Linked DNA regions of Arabidopsis thaliana. The protein of the gene in region 1 interacts with the protein of each later gene in a pairwise test. Each region holds a gene or a part of one and is shown in the gene's direction. Other genes may lie near its edges.

Region 1 (5,311 bases):
CAAAGAATATAAAAATATTTTGCAATCTTGACTAATAAAAGTTCTTCTATTCAATAATAACTTTCGAAATTTCTATTCTACAAGAAGTGAGATTTGAATATCCTTGTATGGACCTTCAGAGCTATAATCATCACAAGGTCGGCGGCGGGAGCAGATCGGAGAGACGGAAAAGGCGGAGAGGAAAAAGGCGAGCGGCGGAATTGAAATTCAGATTGAAAACTATAATATAACGAAGAACTTCATGATCCCCTCAGTTTTTGTTATTTCTTATCCACATACTTCTCCGCCGCTTCTAGCCTTTCATTCCTACCACCATCCGTCTACTTCCATCGCCGCCACCGCCGCCTGAATGTTTCAGAACGGTCTCTTATAGAGTTAGGGTTTTGACGTTTTGTTCGGCCCTTTTCTCTGATAAATTTGTATTTTTCGGACTAAACTGGGCCGTATCTTAGGCCCAATAACGCATCTCCACAACACAGTACAATATCTGTTATATGACATGACTTAAAACTTTTGGGCCTTTTCTGATAAATTCAATTTGCTAATGTCATTCTATTTAATGTGATGTTATCTTCATCCTATGAATATGCATATTCATAAATATTTAATGTATGTATATGGTTCCTTAATCAATGATGATTGATAGATTCGTTCCTTCGTCGAAATCTAATGTATATGCATAGAATTAATTCATATATCGGTTTAGAAGATGATGGAATTAATTATCCAACTAGGCGACGACTTATATGTCGACATGAGTTATAAATTCAAATACAACGACATCATTTGAGTCAAATGCAAACAAAAATTATAAGAAAAATAAAATAGCAATCGAAGGGTTTTGGGGTTTTATGATTTATGGCTGGCATCTGTGTAACCGTGTTCCTCTTTGCTTGATTGGGATAACAACGTTTTACATGTATCGTCCACGACGAACGAATCTATCTATCAACTTAATTCATCCAACTAGCAAATAGCAACTTGCATACAAAATAATTTATCAAAAAAAAAAAAAACTTGCATACGGAAGAAAAAGTGTTATTATTCAGCAATTTTCACTAAACTACTCATATTTAAATTCCATATTTTGCACTAAATTACTATTTCTATGGCTGGAAACAAAAACTGAGTTACTTGGCTCATGGCCTTCTATAGCCTTGAATGGACGCTATTACGACCTCGTCTCTTTCGTGGAAAAAGCAAATGAGGGCCAAAGACTTTTAAAGGGAAATGTCTCCTTTCGGTGGATGCTTTCTTCACAAATGCACCCACTATATATGTCTGTCTGTCTACTTGTAAGTTGCAATGTAATATATTCATGAATTTATCATACTAATAATATGTTTGTTTATCATTAGATCGGTAGGGGTTATGCACATTAAACGATAAGATTGATGTGATAAGGGTTAGAAACTGATCTACTGTTAAATTATTGTGATAAGGATCGGAAATTAATGTGATCATAATTTTGGTGGACCATTGTTTGTCTGTGGTCCATGACAAACAAGTCACAACGGTCCACGGTTTATTACGACATTGTGAATTTGTGATTGCATATTTAGGTTCAAAACTGTTATTAATATCCAAAATTTTGTGTATAATTAATAAATTCCAAATTCACAATCAACTAAAAGTTATATGTATAAACTTGCAGTTGTTTAGAGAATGATAATAACACAAAAACTTACGATGGTAGCTTTAACTAGTCAACACGTGAAATAAATGCGATGTGGAAATTTGCCGGGGGAAAAAATGATGACTTCTCAAGATTATTTCCGCTCGGGTTTTAATGAGACTCTGACATGAAATTGAATTCAGATGATTATAAAACGGTTCATATATTCATATAGTAGATGATGATATAAACTCATCGAAGCATCGTAGAAAATAGAGAACTTCAATTTGTTTTTTGTTTACCATTATTAGAGATACTATTCGCTGAAAGAGAAGCATAAGAGGGGTGTTATGATTTGACAAAAACACCCTTAATCATTGGTCAAGACTCAAAGAGTGTTGCAGATAAGGTACAGATCAGAAACCCACCTCTAGAAATCGAGCAATAGATCTCTCTCAACTTCACAGACAAAATCCAACCGAGTTGGTGGGTCTCACTAACTCTTTAACTAGTTGTCTGACAATTCGCCACGTGTCGGTCATCCTGATCAGTTTCAGTACTATTGCCCCCACCGAATCATTATCTCCCCCTCGCTCACTCGCTTACTTACCGTAATAATCTCTCTGCTTCCCTCCTCTAGCTCTTGTCCCTTTCTGTCTGAACCTGGCAAGAAGAACCTTAGCCTCTCTTTCTTCTTTCTCTCTCTCTCTCTCTGTGTTACTGTTCTGTTTCAACTTTACTCCCTCAGTTTCAGAACAATTCCCTATCTAGAAGAGAGATAAAACCGAGAAGGTTTTGGAGATAGAATCTTTTGTTCTTCTTTTGTCCCTCCTTGCTCGATTTTTGTTACGTGTGAAGCAATAAAAAAAAACTGATATAGCTAAATCTTCCATCCATTCAGAGGCTTCTAAATCTGGTAATTACTTTTATAGCTTCCCCTTAGTAAGAGTTTACTATATATAGAATTAGTTGCTTTATTAAATCATTTCCTCCTAGATTGTTGGAGAGGGTTGTTTGGTTTAATTATTTTCTAATCATTAAACTGTTGGGATTTCGAATAATCTTTTCTAAGTTGATTGCTTTCATCATCCTTTTTCCTCAAATCTCCTGTTAATCATTATACTAATTATGAATCAAATCATTTCTTATTCACTTACAAAAAAGTAATATATTCTTTATTTAAGTGTCTTTACAGATCTGACATGGAACAAGTGTTTGCTGATTGGAATTTTGAAGATAATTTTCACATGTCCACTAATAAAAGATCAATCAGGTATATATCAATTTTCCAATTCAAGTATTTCATAATTATATACCAATTTCACATCTTAATCATAGCTATTTAAGTATTGTTTGTTTAAAATATGTTTGTAAACATTCATATGTTGGGACAGACCAGAAGATGAATTAGTGGAGCTATTGTGGAGAGATGGTCAAGTGGTTTTACAAAGCCAAGCTCGTAGAGAACCGTCAGTCCAAGTCCAAACCCACAAACAAGAAACCCTAAGAAAACCCAACAATATTTTTCTTGACAACCAAGAAACAGTACAAAAGCCTAACTACGCTGCTCTAGATGATCAAGAAACCGTCTCCTGGATACAATACCCTCCGGATGACGTCATCGACCCTTTCGAATCCGAGTTCTCCTCTCATTTCTTCTCTTCGATCGATCACCTCGGAGGTCCTGAGAAGCCACGAACGATCGAAGAGACAGTTAAGCATGAGGCTCAAGCCATGGCTCCTCCTAAGTTTAGATCCTCGGTTATAACAGTCGGACCGAGTCATTGCGGCAGCAACCAGTCAACAAATATTCATCAGGCCACTACACTTCCGGTTTCTATGAGTGATAGAAGCAAGAACGTCGAAGAAAGACTTGACACTTCGTCAGGTGGCTCCTCCGGTTGCAGCTATGGAAGGAACAACAAAGAAACCGTTAGTGGAACAAGTGTAACCATTGACCGTAAAAGAAAACATGTTATGGATGCTGATCAAGAATCTGTGTCTCAATCAGATATAGGTTTGACCTCAACCGATGATCAAACCATGGGTAACAAATCGAGCCAACGGTCAGGATCTACTCGAAGAAGCCGTGCAGCTGAAGTTCATAATCTCTCAGAAAGGGTATACATATACTATTTCTGACTAGTTGATCAACCATTCAGTAATAATAATTCTGATGTGATCTTTGTCTATTAATTACAGAGGAGGAGAGATCGGATCAATGAAAGAATGAAAGCTCTTCAAGAACTCATACCTCACTGCAGCAGAGTAAGTTTTTTCATCACAAAAAAACTGAGTTAATTAAGCTGTAATTGATTGGTGTGTTTAAATATGGTTTTGTCTTCTTCTTTTTTTGTGTAGACAGATAAAGCTTCGATATTGGATGAAGCAATTGATTACTTAAAATCACTTCAAATGCAACTCCAAGTGATGTGGATGGGAAGTGGAATGGCGGCGGCGGCAGCAGCAGCAGCAAGTCCGATGATGTTTCCCGGGGTACAATCATCTCCATACATTAATCAGATGGCTATGCAAAGTCAGATGCAATTGTCTCAATTCCCGGTTATGAACCGGTCCGCTCCGCAGAACCATCCCGGTTTAGTATGTCAAAACCCGGTACAGTTGCAGCTCCAAGCACAGAACCAAATCTTATCGGAGCAGCTCGCTAGGTACATGGGCGGGATTCCCCAGATGCCGCCGGCGGGAAATCAGGTCAGTTGCAGACGGCATCGTTTTGAAGAAAGACAAATATATTTATTTAATATCTGACGTGTCATGTTTTAAATTAGATGCAGACCGTGCAACAACAACCAGCGGACATGTTGGGATTTGGATCTCCGGCGGGACCGCAAAGTCAACTGTCGGCACCGGCGACCACCGACAGTCTTCATATGGGTAAAATAGGCTGACTTGGCATATAGTTTTCCTCCGAAATTATTCTTCTTACAGTTGGTGATTGTTATTTATTTTTGGTCGCCTAAGCAAGCATAAAAGCTAAGTCAAATGTATTATAGAGATCTAATAAGTTAGTCTCATACTTATAACTTATTTTTAAACAGTTGAATTATAGTATCAATCAAGTGTTGGGAACCTAAAGATCATACATGTGTCAATACTTTTATATTTGTTCTCAAGGTTCATCAGAAAAACAAAATAAAAAGGATAGACTAGGCCTGCATTTGACATTATCATGGGCTTTTTTGGGTCTATGAATATGAACATTAACCCATATTACTGCTCAAAACGCATACGTTATACAAAAAACGGAAAACGCTAACGTGGTTTACTCCACCACGATTCGTACGTAACGACTAGCGAGTCCCATACCTACTCGATTTTTAGTTTCCTCAAGTTAACGGTGAAATCAAATTACCGATTATGTCCTTCTAAAGTGACACGTGTCTTACAAGAGGAGCGAGTTTATCCTAATCACATACTCGAGCGTGTAGGTTTCCGATTAAAGCGAAGCAGAAAAAAATTACTAAAATAATAAAAACGTATAGAATGTGATTAATTAAGTCAACCAATAAGCATCTTACAAATCAGCACTCTGAAAACAAACACGATTATTAATAGAAAAAGCTGCGACCCGACTCCTGAGCCTCTCTCTTTCTATCGCTCTTTGATTTTGTTTCTCATTGTTTTGCTTCAAATTACGCATTCGAATCTGATCTTCGTTGATCTCTGTGGAAGAAA
Region 2 (6,217 bases), on another chromosome or scaffold:
AACTACATATCCGCCGGATACGGATACGGATCCGGATACTCCAAAAAACCCGGATATCCGGATCCGTAACAGGCCTAATCGTAGGTTGGTAAATTCTAGAAAAATAAGAGATATAAAAACTATATAGTTGTGACATATTCATTATTCAATATGAGCCATGGCTACACAAACTATATAGTTGTGACATTTTCATTATTCAATATGAGCCATGGCTACACAAACTATATAGCTGTGACATATCATACACAGAATAATATTCCCATGAATGCATGTATATATAGATCCTTTGGTTTTCCACCGAATAGTACAAACGTGTATATGATAAAAGTTTAGTCTTGAATTTTATAGATCTTACAAGATTGGGAAGACAGCCGTTTTCGGTACCAACTAAACCCGTAGTCACGGCCGGTCCATCTTAATATGCTGTCTAAAGCCCAAAAAATAAAAACTGGCCCATTATAAAACAAAGTTGAAAAAAATTGCGAGGTACAATTTATCAACTAAGTATTCTTCATCCGTCTAGACATCAAAAGAGTTCTAACTCTCTCCAAGAGATATCGATCTAGTGTTCTTTCTTAAGCCAATCGAAATGTTATTTATCCATCCTCAAATTAGCCAATTCCAAATATTGTTTTCAAATTATAGCCTTTTCCAAAGATTGTGTTTTCAATGAATAATTGTAGAAATTTAATTTTGATAGTTTTTTTATAAGAAAACTACGCAAAAAGTCCAGACTTAATATCCAAGGTGATATCTTTTCCAAGTCAATAGTTCATTGACTATTATGCGTATCTTCTATGTTTTAAAATAAAATAAATTTTGCTAGTTTAGAAATGTGATAATTATTGGAAGTATATCAATGGAATTTTTTATATCTCATTTAGTATGTCTAATTTTGAAAGTTATCTGTATTGAAAATGATTAAATATTCTTACCCTTATAAACCATATATCACTTCAAAATTTATGCTATTGTAGTATTGTTTATAGAAAAACGGAAAAATAAAAATCATTACAAATAAACGCGGCAATGAAACAGAAAAAATAAAAACCATTAAAAATAATCGCGGCAAATTTAAATAACGGCTATCGAAATAATGAAAATTATTTTTTGTTAACAAACATTTTTCTGGAGAAAGTTTTTAAAAATTGATTAAATATTCTTATAACTTTGTAAAATAATATTTTCAAAAACTTCTAAACTATCCTCAACTAATAAAATTTTATTTGCCACTTGCAATACAACTAAAACTTTGTTAGACCTTGTACGCAATAAAGAAAATATTTTTCAATGTCGATAGCTATCTCCATTCCAATGGCCCCCCTAGTCTATTCATCGATTCACAATCTTATCAATCATGTTCCGTCAATACACACTTTTCTAATTTCAACAATTTTATAATTGTTGCCCTCGTTACATTTAATTGTAATATTTTTGTTCTCCTCATGATAATATTATTCCATTATTGTATTCGACCATATCTATCTGCGTGTATTGACCGCCTCTTCAATTAAGTCACCACCCAATAAGATTTCGACGTTGACTGACCGACTTGTAGCTTTAATAAAGCCCACATGATTTGCTTTTCGTCCAAGCAAATTTTTGGTTAGAGAAAGAGGAAAAAAACTCAGGAACCGCCGACTTAAGAATTTCTTCTTCATCATCTCTCCAATATCGCCGATTATATATAAATGACTCTTCGATTCTGTTTCTTCTTCGTCGTCATCGCCGGCTTAGGGTTTTCTCTATAAGCAAATCTTATCTTCTCCTTTTCCTCCGTTTTTTCTGGTCAGCTTTTGCTTTTAGATTACCCTTGTTGCCTGCGATCGATCTGAAAAAAGAGGTCCGTCATGTTCATGTTCATGTTCAGTTTCTTTTCGTTTTGTTTCAATTCTTCTCATGCGATTTGAGGATTTTTTTTTTTATCTTGAATTGTTTTTTTTTGTTGAAGTCGATGATTGTAGATCGGCTTAGATTCGTTTGATTTTGAGTGGTTTTGTGTTGTTTTGATTGAGTTTTTGGATGATTCGTGTGATTATGCTTACGATCTGTGTTTTTTCGTCTCTGATTTTAGTTTATTTTGAAAATCAGTGAAACTGCGATTGATTTGGTTCGATTTGTGGATTTTGTGAAGCAACAGAGCTATTTTGACTTGAGAGATGAATTTTAATTTTTATTGAAAGCTAAAAAGTTGCTGGTTTGGATGTTGCAGGAACTTTATCTTGCTGACGGCTGTTATAAAAAGACGTGGCATTTCTTCTCTGATTGTGTTTATTTTTATGACGGAGAAGATGAACACACTTGTAATCTATCAGACTCTAACTGTTACTGTTGGGTGAGTTTCAAGCTCATGGCTTGGGTTTATTGTTCTCATTTTTCTGTGTTGGTGATTGGGTTTACTTGTTTTTGTTGGTTTGTTTCTGTGTTTATCTTTAGTGTCTCATAGGATCGTTCTTGTTGAGTGTGATGTTCATTTCTTATTGCTTCATTCCTATGTAGGTTGATTTGTACCTTCCGTCTTTGTAATGGATCTTTGTGCTCTTTATAACACAAGATACAACAAGAAGTAATGAAAGACTGTTCATAATGTTACTTACTGATGGAAATTGTAGCAAATGTCTTTTGTGAAGGAATGATATTACAGGATCATAGGTCTCATATAGTTATGCTGATTCTTTCTTGTTTACTGATTCTTTATCATGTAAACTGTGAGGAGTTTTTGTTTGACTCTATTCTCTGTAATATAGTTGTTCAATATTTTAAGCCTTTTCCATTTCTTTTGTGCAGTGTTTTCTAATGCTGTCGGCAAGACACTATCTTTAGGACTGCTAGGGAGTTTAGAGGTTACACAGTTGACTTTTTCTATCAAGGTTATAGGTTTAGTATTGTTAATATATAGAAATGGAAGCCAAGATCGTCAAGGTGTTGGATAGTAGTAGGTGTGAAGATGGATTCGGAAAAAAGAGGAAGCGCGCAGCAAGCTATGCTGCATATGTTACTGGAGTTTCGTGTGCAAAGCTGCAAAATGTGCCCCCACCGAACGGGCAGTGCCAAATTCCTGACAAAAGAAGAAGGCTGGAAGGTGAAAACAAGCTTAGCGCTTACGAGAATCGCTCTGGGAAGGCGCTGGTCAGATATTACACTTATTTTAAGAAGACTGGAATCGCTAAACGTGTTATGATGTATGAGAATGGCGAATGGAATGATTTGCCTGAGCACGTTATATGCGCCATCCAGAATGAATTAGAAGAAAAGAGCGCCGCAATTGAGTTCAAGTTATGCGGTCACAGTTTTATTTTGGACTTCTTGCACATGCAAAGACTAGACATGGAAACAGGAGCAAAAACCCCTCTTGCATGGATTGACAATGCAGGAAAGTGCTTTTTCCCTGAAATTTATGAGAGTGATGAAAGGACCAATTACTGCCATCATAAATGTGTGGAAGACCCAAAACAGAATGCTCCTCATGATATCAAACTTCGCCTAGAGATTGATGTTAATGGTGGCGAGACACCGAGGTTAAATTTGGAGGAGTGCAGTGATGAGTCTGGTGATAATATGATGGACGATGTTCCCCTTGCTCAACGATCTTCAAATGAGCACTATGACGAGGCTACGGAGGATAGCTGCAGCCGCAAGCTCGAAGCTGCTGTTTCGAAATGGGATGAGACTGATGCTATAGTCGTCTCTGGTGCCAAGCTTACGGGAAGCGAAGTACTTGATAAAGATGCAGTAAAAAAAATGTTTGCTGTAGGCACAGCTTCTCTAGGACATGTACCAGTGCTGGATGTGGGCCGTTTTTCCAGTGAGATTGCTGAAGCTCGTCTAGCACTTTTCCAGAAGCAGGTTGAGATCACTAAGAAACATCGAGGGGATGCAAACGTTAGGTATGCCTGGCTTCCTGCAAAGAGGGAAGTTTTATCAGCAGTGATGATGCAAGGACTTGGAGTTGGTGGAGCATTTATCAGAAAGTCCATCTATGGTGTTGGGATCCATTTAACCGCTGCAGACTGCCCTTATTTCAGGTATTTGCCTCGTATTCATCTGTTTTTTTCATGTTTAGATCGTATATTTTACCTTCCTCTGCAATAGGTTCTTTGTGTGTCAAGTACTAACTATGAACTTGTTTACAGTGCTAGATACTGTGATGTTGACGAAAACGGAGTACGTTACATGGTTTTATGCCGTGTGATTATGGGGAATATGGAGCTTCTTCGTGGTGATAAAGCTCAGTTCTTTTCTGGTGGAGAAGAATATGACAATGGAGTCGATGACATTGAGAGTCCAAAGAATTACATTGTCTGGAACATCAATATGAACACACATATATTCCCGGAATTTGTTGTTAGGTTCAAGCTGTCTAATCTCCCCAATGCTGAAGGTGATTAGTTTGTTCTTTTTTTTGTTCCTCACATTCTATCTTCCCCCATTCAAATCAACTGATGACGCATTGAAAGGGAGACAGCTTAGAGATCTGGCTGAAGCTCAGGTCTCAACTGATAAATTTAGAAAAAAAAGTTCCATGTGTGATAATGATAAACCTAACGACCTCCGGTGTTATAACACATTTGGGTTTCAAGAGACAAGTCTCTGATTCATCATCCGGGGGTCGGATGTGATACTCACGCCTTAATGGGTATTTCGATCCATCAAAATTATGTTTTGTGTAGTATTAGAAGTCCGATGACATACACTGGTTTCTGCAGGTAATTTGATTGCTAAGCGTGATAACTCAGGGGTCACTTTGGAAGGACCTAAGGATCTTCCTCCTCAATTGGAGTCAAACGTGAGTTTGGTTACTTCAGTTTTTCTTTGTATGATCTTATTAAAGAAGAGGGACTGAACAACTATATGTGGTGTTGTTGTGTTTAAAAAGCAGGGAGCAAGAGGTTCAGGAAGTGCAAACAGTGTTGGTTCAAGCACTACAAGACCCAAATCTCCATGGATGCCATTTCCTACTCTGTTTGCAGCAATCTCACATAAGGTTGCAGAGAACGACATGTTGTTGATCAATGCTGACTACCAACAACTGAGGGTATAGAAAAAAACTGATTCTGAGAGTTTGCTTTATGATTGGTAATTGCATAAGCTGGAATACATAAGAAATTTGTTGTGCAGGATAAGAAGATGACGAGAGCGGAGTTTGTCAGGAAACTGCGGGTGATTGTAGGAGATGATCTGCTAAGGTCCACCATAACAACCCTTCAAAACCAGGTAAGATAGTAGTAGTAGAGATATTGTTGTTGATCATAAGTTTACTTTGTAAACGGAAATGCTCAACAAAGGTTTTTTGGTTTTAACTTCAGCCAAAGTCGAAGGAGATTCCAGGAAGCATCAGAGACCATGAAGAAGGTGCAGGTGGATTGTAAGTAAAGTGGATGATGATGATGACGAATATCAAAAGGAAGCTGCTTTTTATCTATCTACCTGCCTTTGTGGTTCTCCTTTTGACTTTTTCTAATTTTAGACTTTTGGTTTTGGGTCGGGTCGTTGGTAGAGTTTAAAATGTGTCGACTTTTCTTTCTGTCGTGAAAAATCGTACTATATTATATGATTCTACTTAGTCAATGATGTCGTTGGGTCTTTGTTTCTTTAGCTGCAAGCAAAACATTGTTGTGGAAGTCGTTGAATCTTGACGAAAATTTGGTCGTTAAGCCTATCGCGTGAAACTTTTCTTCACTATACTTTTTCTCATTATTCTGTTAGCTTTATTAGATGCCTCACATTTGTGTGAAGGATTATTTAAGAGTATGATAACTGGTCACCTCTGGGTTCCTTTGACACTTGTGTACTACGGGTAAATCAAGACTAGAGGAATACCAGGAGAAAATAGTGTTGGTCCTCTCCTCCCCTTTAGAGCTCTATATGATGCGCACTGAGTAAGCTTGGCCTCTGACGATGAGAAGCTAGTGGATATCTCGATATTCTAGGTCCAATCAGTTCGATTTTATGGAGTCTCTGTGGAGTAGAGTAAACGGTCAGTTTGGGATCTCTTTCTCTATAACAGCGATTTGGAATCTGATCCGAGTGGTTCACCCAAAAGTACAATGGTTCTGGCTGTTTTCTTTTCATGGTTATAATCTGAAGCATTATTTTATTCCTTTTTGTTTGTGTTGTGAGTCGGCATTTTAGCTTTAAACGAATTTAAAACCGAGGAATTGATGATGAGCCTAACTCTTGCATATTACAGAGGATTGGAGCCATGTATCTTTCACTT
Region 3 (2,746 bases), on another chromosome or scaffold:
CTCGGGAGAATCAAGTTCAAAGAGATGAGAGATCTTGTGGGAGTTCAAGATATGACAAAGTGTAGCTTCAAGCTTAAGGGGGAAAATGTTGGAGTAAGCTTGAAGCTTACTTGAAGAAGAAGCAATCAAGCAAAAAGGAAATTAAAATTAGACTTTGTGTTTAGGAAGTTGCCTAAATACTTATGTGTGTTTTCCTAATAGGATTAGGAAATTGTCTAGTTCTTTTCTTATATAAAGGAGTTGCAAGAGTGTTGCAAAACTTATGAGTTGAGAGATTAAGATTGTGTGTTTTTAGGTTTTGAGTTATTTTCTTAAAGCAATAAAAGAGAGAGTCTTTTATTCATAATCTTGTTCTTATTCTTGAGTTTGATATATAGTTTGAATCAATATATTTTACAAGCATTCGTCACACATCTGATATATACACATTCCACACTCAATCAAAGTATGGCACGGCACAATCCCAATGATGCATTTAGATTTCTCTCTTCTATGACATTCTCCTTCCATCACTACTCCATCTGCACATCATCACTTTCATCATCAAGGCGTTTTCTTTACATACTCCGGTTGAGTTTATGCTCTTCTAAAAAACCTGCAAAAATCAAATCAAAATTTTCATTACAACGCCTTCTGAATTTCAGAAAACTATGTGCAACATAATCATGCAAGTATCATATACTAATCTAAAAATAAAATAAAAACCTTTATGCCCAAATATCCATTTCAGACATATATTTTAGTTTTTCAAAGAAACTAATCTTCTTAATAAAACAGAACTAGGATTGTTATTTTTCCTATATATCAATATGAACAATTAAATTCAAGTAGATTCTTTCAAGACTGCCTAATTTATTTTCCATTTCAAGACAATTTTAAGACTAATCTACCAAATCAAATAACCACGAGAACAGAGGTTAAGCTTCTTTGTTATTATCATCTTATGTGACCTCTTCCAAATATATATATATCTCAAATGTTTTAAATCTGAAAGATATCTAGAGCATCGTAGTTAAAGAAATAAACCAAAAGAGTTACCGTTATGTAACGTTCAAATTTACCTTTTTCTCTAACGTTCCGACTGACGTGACTCTTATGCGCACTGTATTACTAGAAATCAAAATAATAGATTAGTTTGTTTTTTTGTTACGGCTAATAGATTACTTGTTATAAAAGTAAATAAAATAAAAAGATCAAGGAATCCGATTAGATTCAAATCCGAAGGCTATTGATAAGTACTTAATCTTCTTACCATTACAGATAATATCAAACCGTCACGTGGACAGCCACAGCTTTCTTTATTATAATATTTGATAAAGTATTAATTCAGTTTGATTAAAGAATCTTCCTCTTAATAGTTTAATCCTAATCAGAAACTTCGAAAACTATCAAATCAATAAAATATTAAGAACACACACGTTGAAAATTCCCCTTTCACTTATGATTCTCATAAACAAAACTAAGAAAAACAAACAATGTTCTCAATAGTCAATTCCCTAATAAGAGTCAAAAACCAAAGGCTTGACCCTCGTTGAACATGTTGCACATCCATCATTATATATCAGAAGAACATAACTTTCACATTCAAAGATCAATAAATATCAGAAGAACATAACTTTCACATTCAAAGAATTTTAAGCGACATCTCAAGTCTCAATGGAAGCAACATCACAACAATTTATGTCTCAGAGTTACCTTAACGCTCAAGAAACCACCACAAGGGCAACGAAAAATTACCTAACTTCGCTCCATTCGACACGTAAACAACCTTCAAAGCCCTTGAAGAGGCCTGCAATATCATCACCTTTGAATCCAATGCATCCTCATGTCTACCGAGTCGAGCCAGTAAACTTCAAAGTGTTGGTTCAGAGGCTAACCGGTGCACCTGAGCACGAGACTGTGCAGGCTAAACCGCTCAAGACTTCGGATGATGCAGCAAAGCAGAGTTCTTCGTCATTTGCGTTTGATCCATCATCATCTTGGGGAGATTTCTCATTCCAAAATCCTGCAAATATTTCCAGATGGTAGCTTCTACTCTTGCAAAATGCTTCTTTTGATTGAAATGCTTAACATTCTTGTATTTATTTTTAGTTTGTTTTTAATAAACCAGAAAGATGTAATCATATATTTTTCAGACTCGCATTCTAGAATTAATTTGTTATGTCATTTATCTGTAACACACACATAATTTGTGGGAGTTAAGACTTTTGATTAAAATAAAACATAATTGGATTGATTAAGGATTCTAACTACATTGGGAATAATTTGATATTTTCATTAAAAGAATAAATTGAATTAATCAATGATTCTATATACACATGTTTAACATGTGAGAATAATTTGAAATTCACAACAATTAACGTTAGAATAATTTTACAGCTAATTAATGATGATTATTCTTATGTGTGTAGATATAATCAAGATGAGCCGTCAATGTTCTTCTCACCAAGCAATCTTCGTCGTCTTCTTTATCGCAGCTCTCTCCCGCCACCTCATGTAATTTTGATTCTATCATTTCCTGATGAAACACAATGAAACATAAAATTACAAACGAAAATATATAACTACGCATGAATCAACATTCAACATGTGTTTACGCATATAATACTAACCAGACTAAGTGTATCCGCCGGAGAGGTTGTGAAGGAGGCGAAGTAGGCAGGTTCAGGGCGGGCGCTGCACGTTAGCATGGTGGCGCAAAGGAGGAGAGCTATCGTGATCAAAGTAGAGAGATTTGCCATTTTGT
Region 4 (5,955 bases), on another chromosome or scaffold:
AGTATCTGCATAGCTGTGTGATCCTTCTTCTCAGCCAAAACTCTTAGGACATAGTTGAATTCCTTGTCGTGTAAACTAGATCCCAAGCTTTTACACGACCAGGAGAAAAACCTCAACAGCCTTCTCGGTGAAGTCTCGTTCTTGCAAGACTCAATCACTTGGGTAACAAGGTTTGATGATGGAGAAACAGAAACCTGGTTCAAGTTTTCTTCAAGGTCATCTAGACCACCAACTGGAGAAGAAACTATCCGAATAACTTCATGCAACGCCGTTTCCGATCGGTCAACTAAATGGTGAGAGCAAAAGTAACGTGTCAGTTTTGCAGTACTCGTTAGATACGTAAACCTGTTTAATCTGACTGTGGTGGACATCATCTTCTCTGAGGAATTTCATCAAACACTTGATATGCGTATGCTTCTTAAAAGCCGCCAAATATAAACCATAGAAGGGACTCTCTCCTGACTTACATGTTTCTCAGAGTATTTACAACTTCGTTGTAAATTCTTTCAGCAACATGAAATTCAGATTTCTATTAAAAGACCTAAATTTGCAGATTTCATGAGATCGCTCGGCTCAACAACAATATATATTCATTTGTTGGAAACATTGCCCGCGTGTCTGAAAAGGGCATTTTAGTCTTTTACATTCCATCACGCTTCAAATTCAGAACCGGATAAAACCGATAATCGTGAGATACGATGGTTATAACTTATAAGTCACTAACCGGAATGATTACTCTCGAAGGCCGCCGATGCATATTGGAAAATCGAACTCCCGATAAAATAGTTCTGAAATTACACGAATAATTAACATCATAAAGTCATAAACAAGTTATTGGTCAATGGTCGATGGCAAAACGTAATAAAAGTTGGACCGGGACAAAACGTGTCTTACGGTGGATGAAGTTGAGAATATATCATGCATTATTGGTCCACTTGTACTAACGATATTCGCAGCTACTAATATGAGCCAATCGGTAATACGAAATATTTTAGCTTGTCGACTACTTACTTTCTATATAAAAGTTTAGCCTACTAATTATCTCTTTTTATGATTATGACAACTTGATTATTTGTTTCCCAACCACTGATGATGAGATTAACCATCTTTTTTGCTAAGAAGGTAAATATTTCATCTTGCTAATGTCCTGTTTACAAGACAATTTGCACACATACACTTATAACATTAGAAAAAAACACTTGAAACTTTGTTACAACATATCATTTAGCTTGATTTTTCAATCACTTTAAGAAGTTAATGAATCATAATGCCTAAATAAGTCCTCTATAACAACCATGAAAGGAGTGTTATATCTATAACCCTGTGCTTTTAGAAAGAATCATAATTTTTAGGAGTCTTTTGTGATGAGAAATTGAGATGTAATAAAAGTAAAATTTTCTATATCTGTATCTTTCGTTTTTTATTTTTATTTTGTTTGTATCTTTAATTCTTCAGTACCTAAAGATAACAGAAAAATAAAATTCTGATAATAGATTTTCTTGTTGTTATAAATATATTTTAATAAACGAAACGAAGCCGAATCCTAAAATTTGGTTTCTGATGGTTTGGTCTGATCTGGTCATATATTTTAAAAGAATTTGCAATTTTTTCTTTCTGTCGACCTTTTGATATGTTTGTTGATTTTGATATGGAGATGCATCTTCTTATCTTGTATCTTACCACAATAATATCAAAAACAAAAATAAATATCATGAGATATTTTCTCCAAGATGACGTGGCCTTTTCTCTATCTCAACCAAACTATCCAACACAACCTTTTTTTTTATGGCCTGCACTTTTTATTGTCCACGTCATCTCCTTGGCCTAAAATATCCCAAGTCCCACCATTAAGCTACACAACAACGCGTAAGAAAAAGACTTAATCTCCACCGTCCAATTCTATCCTCTTTCAACGGTCTCTGATTTACCATCTCTCTCTCTCTTTTTCGCGTCTCATAATTTGACCATTGATTGACAAAACAAAACAATGAGTCTTCTTTCTCTTCTCACTCTTCTTGTCGGAAATTCACCTTCTCTCTCTCTCCTCCTCATCTCACCGCCGGCGTTACGCCGGATCTCCGGTGACTTTTGTTGAGCTTTTTTGTTGATTCATGATTCGATATAGAGAAAAAAGAATTTCCTATTTCAGCTCTTTGTTCTTAGATTTATCTTTTTGTTTGTTCTTATGGATAAAGGATTAGGTTGGGGGATTAAAAGAGTAGTTTTTGTTTGGTTGTGAGATTACTTGACTTTGTTAAGGGGATAAATTAGGCGACTTTGTAGGGACACTGTACCGAAAAACCCTAGTTCTGATTTGGCCATGGAAGTATCATAGCACTTACTATTGTCGGCTTTACTTCTTCTACTTTTGTATAATCCTTTTTTTTCTTAGGTTCTGTGATTAGATATTTTTTTTGTGTGGGTTTAGTTGTTAATCTGATCATGGATTTGAACGGTGAGTGTAAAGGAGGAGATGGGTTTATTGATAGAAGCAGAGTCAGGATTTTGCTTTGTGACAATGATTCCACGAGTTTGGGAGAGGTTTTTACTCTCCTTTCAGAGTGTTCTTATCAAGGTATGATTTATAGGTTTGTCCTTGTCTTGTTCCCAAAGTTTCTCTTTTTACTTTGTTATTTTTTGCTAAGTTGGGATTACTACTTTAGATTGCAGATCTCTTATAGGTTCTTGTCGTCTGGCTTTTTGAGTCAGTATGGTCAGATGTGATCAAGATGACATTTTTAACCTTTGTTGATTTTAGTACCTTATTGATAGTTTTTGAATGCATCTCTAGTGTGTATTGCTTTCTATTTTTACACTATGCTCAACTGTTTGTTGTTCAAGACTCAATGATGATATATTGGATGAATTGTTTTTATTCTTTTTGGAATGCAGTGACTGCAGTGAAATCAGCAAGGCAGGTGATTGATGCACTTAATGCAGAGGGACCTGATATCGATATAATACTGGCGGAAATTGATCTCCCAATGGCTAAGGGTATGAAGATGCTGAGGTACATCACACGAGACAAAGATCTTCGCAGAATCCCTGTGATAAGTAAGCTGTGTTCTTTGTTGCTCTTCTCGTTTTATTATCTATTCGTGAAGTTGTATCTTCTCTGCTTATCAAAGTGCTTTTGACAGCATGATCATTAGCTTTATACTGACTAATCTTATAATATTCTCAATTTAAGTGATGTCGAGGCAAGACGAAGTCCCTGTCGTTGTAAAGTGCTTGAAGCTAGGTGCAGCTGACTACCTTGTGAAGCCTCTTCGCACCAACGAGCTTCTGAACTTGTGGACACACATGTGGAGAAGAAGACGCATGGTTTGTTTTGCTTGTCTCAAGTTCTCTCTATTTATCTTACTGTTTTTGAGCAATACTTGATAGCCATATCTCTCAATCTGTCGTCTTCTGAAATAAAAGACCTTGATGCATGAAGTTAATGCTATTGATTTCATATATTTGTTTTGGCAGCTAGGACTTGCTGAGAAGAATATGTTGAGCTATGATTTTGATCTTGTGGGATCTGATCAAAGTGATCCAAACACAAATAGTACCAACCTGTTCTCTGACGACACAGATGATAGAAGTCTTAGGTCCACCAACCCACAGAGAGGAAATTTAAGTCACCAGGAAAATGAGGTGAGAAAGTATTTGACAGTTTAAAGCCCTCTGAAAATGGAGAAGAACTGATTTTTTAGCTTGCGCTCATGCTTTTGCTGGTAGTGGTCTGTTGCTACTGCTCCTGTTCATGCTCGTGATGGTGGTCTTGGTGCTGATGGAACAGCCACTTCTTCTCTTGCTGTTACTGCTATAGAGCCTCCATTGGATCATCTTGCTGGGTCTCACCATGAGCCAATGAAAAGAAATAGTAATCCAGGTGATTGTTTCTCTTTGATGTCTCACTTTCTAATAGCTAGTCTCTAAAAGAACCTTTGTTTTAGTGAATTCTAATATAGTAGGGGTTTTGCAGCGCAATTTTCTTCAGCACCGAAGAAAAGTAGATTGAAGATCGGAGAGTCCTCTGCTTTCTTTACATATGTCAAATCTACTGTCCTTAGAACTAACGGTCAGGATCCTCCTCTTGTCGATGGAAATGGCTCACTTCATCTTCATCGGGGTTTGGCGGAGAAGTTTCAAGTGGTGGCTAGTGAAGGGATCAACAACACCAAACAAGCACGCAGAGCAACACCAAAATCTACTGTCCTTAGAACTAACGGTCAGGATCCTCCTCTTGTCAATGGAAATGGCTCACATCATCTTCATCGGGGTGCGGCGGAAAAGTTTCAAGTGGTGGCTAGTGAAGGGATCAACAACACCAAACAAGCACACAGAAGTAGAGGGACCGAGCAATACCATTCTCAAGGAGAGACCTTGCAGAATGGCGCCAGCTATCCACATTCCCTTGAGCGGTCACGCACGCTTCCCACATCAATGGAATCTCATGGTAGGAACTACCAAGAGGGCAATATGAATATTCCCCAAGTTGCTATGAACAGAAGTAAAGATTCGTCTCAAGTTGATGGATCGGGTTTCTCTGCACCAAATGCCTATCCTTACTATATGCATGGGGTCATGAACCAAGTTATGATGCAATCAGCAGCCATGATGCCTCAATATGGTCATCAAATTCCTCATTGCCAACCAAATCATCCGAATGGAATGACGGGATATCCTTACTACCACCACCCAATGAACACATCTTTGCAGCATAGTCAGATGTCTTTACAGAATGGTCAGATGTCTATGGTTCATCATTCTTGGTCACCGGCAGGAAATCCGCCTTCTAATGAGGTGAGGGTAAATAAACTTGACAGAAGAGAGGAAGCTCTGCTGAAATTCAGACGTAAAAGGAACCAACGTTGTTTTGATAAGAAGATTAGGTATGTGAATAGGAAACGCCTTGCTGAGAGGAGACCCCGCGTTAAGGGTCAGTTTGTTAGGAAGATGAACGGCGTGAATGTTGATTTAAATGGACAGCCTGACTCTGCTGACTATGATGACGAGGAAGAGGAGGAAGAAGAAGAAGAAGAGGAGAACCGGGATTCATCTCCTCAGGATGATGCTTTGGGAACTTGAAGATACACCAAGAACTGAAAACCGTTGTGTTATACGTATTTGCTTGCATCTTATCAAACAACAGAAGATGTTGATCGACTGACACGAAAAAGATGATACTGCTACAGCCAAAAAAACATCGAATATCGAGTTGTCTCTAAGGCAATGTTGGCTCTTGCGGCTCAACTTTTTGACAGAGCATTGAAAAGCTCTCATTGGGTTTAGCTTAGTTCGTTGATAAACATATAATGTATTTTATCATGTTCACTCACATTCTCTCAGTAAGTACTCAGATGTATTAACCTTTCTTCTCCTTCCAGTATCATTTACTTGAATCTTGTTTTTCCCTCGCTCTCTCACCTGTGTTTACATATATAATTATATATAATCGCTCCATGTCTTCCACCACTAAAGCTTCTGTCTTTCCTCGGAAAAACACAATACAAATGCAATTGTGTCACAGACAAGAAGCATATGAAAATCTAAATTTGGATTTAAGTTATCTGAAACTAAGAACATAATCAGCTGTATATCTACTGTCAGGAACAACAGTTCTGTGTTTCTTTCATGACTACATAAATAAATCTCTACAGTCCACTAAACTCTGATTTCTTTAATTCTCTGTGGTGCTATTGAGTAAGGTCCACTAATGTATAACAAGCTTTCTAGCAACTAGACGGATTCCGGCTCTCTGCTGATAATCATATGGCTCCAGAGACAAGAAAGCGTCAAGAACAGTTCTCGGATTCAACAAAGACTCAATCTCTTCAGCCTTGGGGTTGCTAGAAATGAGTTTCTGAGTAGCAGTAGCTCCAGAGAACTCTTTCTGGTGTATCTCAGCTGCGTACCGATCTATATCTCCATTTAACTCTGTGGGTATACTGCACATACAAAGAA

What was found.
Region 2: the proteins of PIL6 (region 1) and RCD1 interact in a two-hybrid assay, tested with the Arabidopsis thaliana proteins (one study listed by BioGRID).
Region 3: the proteins of PIL6 (region 1) and AT4G37710 interact in a two-hybrid assay, tested with the Arabidopsis thaliana proteins (one study listed by BioGRID).
Region 4: the proteins of PIL6 (region 1) and TOC1 interact in a two-hybrid assay, tested with the Arabidopsis thaliana proteins (3 studies listed by BioGRID).

Annotation. Positions count from the first base shown.
Region 1 is NC_003074.8:21,827,402-21,832,712, reverse strand, and holds PIL6 (phytochrome interacting factor 3-like 6), read left to right. Parts: upstream 1-1,875; 5' UTR 1,876-2,531; exon of another isoform or gene 2,532-2,810; 5' UTR 2,811-2,817; coding exon 2,818-2,888; intron 2,889-3,009; coding exon 3,010-3,736; intron 3,737-3,817; coding exon 3,818-3,883; intron 3,884-3,976; coding exon 3,977-4,327; intron 4,328-4,404; coding exon 4,405-4,524; 3' UTR 4,525-4,808; downstream 4,809-5,311. Other genes in the region: AT3G59070 (Cytochrome b561/ferric reductase transmembrane with DOMON related domain-containing protein), read left to right, coding at 155-349. UniProt on the Arabidopsis thaliana protein: Transcription factor acting negatively in the phytochrome B signaling pathway to promote the shade-avoidance response. Regulates PHYB abundance at the post-transcriptional level, possibly via the ubiquitin-proteasome pathway.
Region 2 is NC_003070.9:11,610,526-11,616,742, forward strand, and holds RCD1 (WWE protein-protein interaction domain protein family), read left to right. Parts: upstream 1-1,592; 5' UTR 1,593-1,843; intron 1,844-2,212; 5' UTR 2,213-2,335; exon of another isoform or gene 2,336-2,787; 5' UTR 2,788-2,901; coding exon 2,902-4,025; intron 4,026-4,133; coding exon 4,134-4,381; intron 4,382-4,706; coding exon 4,707-4,786; intron 4,787-4,876; coding exon 4,877-5,035; intron 5,036-5,118; coding exon 5,119-5,214; coding exon of another isoform or gene 5,215-5,223; exon of another isoform or gene 5,224-5,306; coding exon 5,307-5,369; 3' UTR 5,370-5,693; downstream 5,694-6,217. UniProt on the Arabidopsis thaliana protein: Inactive ADP-ribosyltransferase that functions with SRO1 to regulate oxidative stress, hormonal and developmental responses. Required for embryogenesis, vegetative and reproductive development, and abiotic stress responses.
Region 3 is NC_003075.7:17,716,578-17,719,323, forward strand, and holds AT4G37710 (VQ motif-containing protein), read left to right. Parts: upstream 1-1,550; 5' UTR 1,551-1,656; coding exon 1,657-2,028; 3' UTR 2,029-2,194; downstream 2,195-2,746. Other genes in the region: PSK6 (phytosulfokine 6 precursor), read right to left, coding at 2,384-2,518, 2,613-2,741. UniProt on the Arabidopsis thaliana protein: May function as negative regulator of flowering transition.
Region 4 is NC_003076.8:24,673,098-24,679,052, forward strand, and holds TOC1 (CCT motif -containing response regulator protein), read left to right. Parts: upstream 1-1,865; 5' UTR 1,866-2,442; coding exon 2,443-2,575; intron 2,576-2,892; coding exon 2,893-3,054; intron 3,055-3,190; coding exon 3,191-3,324; intron 3,325-3,474; coding exon 3,475-3,642; intron 3,643-3,726; coding exon 3,727-3,880; intron 3,881-3,973; coding exon 3,974-5,079; 3' UTR 5,080-5,453; downstream 5,454-5,955. Other genes in the region: AT5G61370 (Pentatricopeptide repeat (PPR) superfamily protein), read right to left, coding at 1-374; AT5G61390 (Polynucleotidyl transferase, ribonuclease H-like superfamily protein), read right to left, coding at 5,705-5,939. UniProt on the Arabidopsis thaliana protein: Controls photoperiodic flowering response. Component of the circadian clock. Expression of several members of the ARR-like family is controlled by circadian rhythm.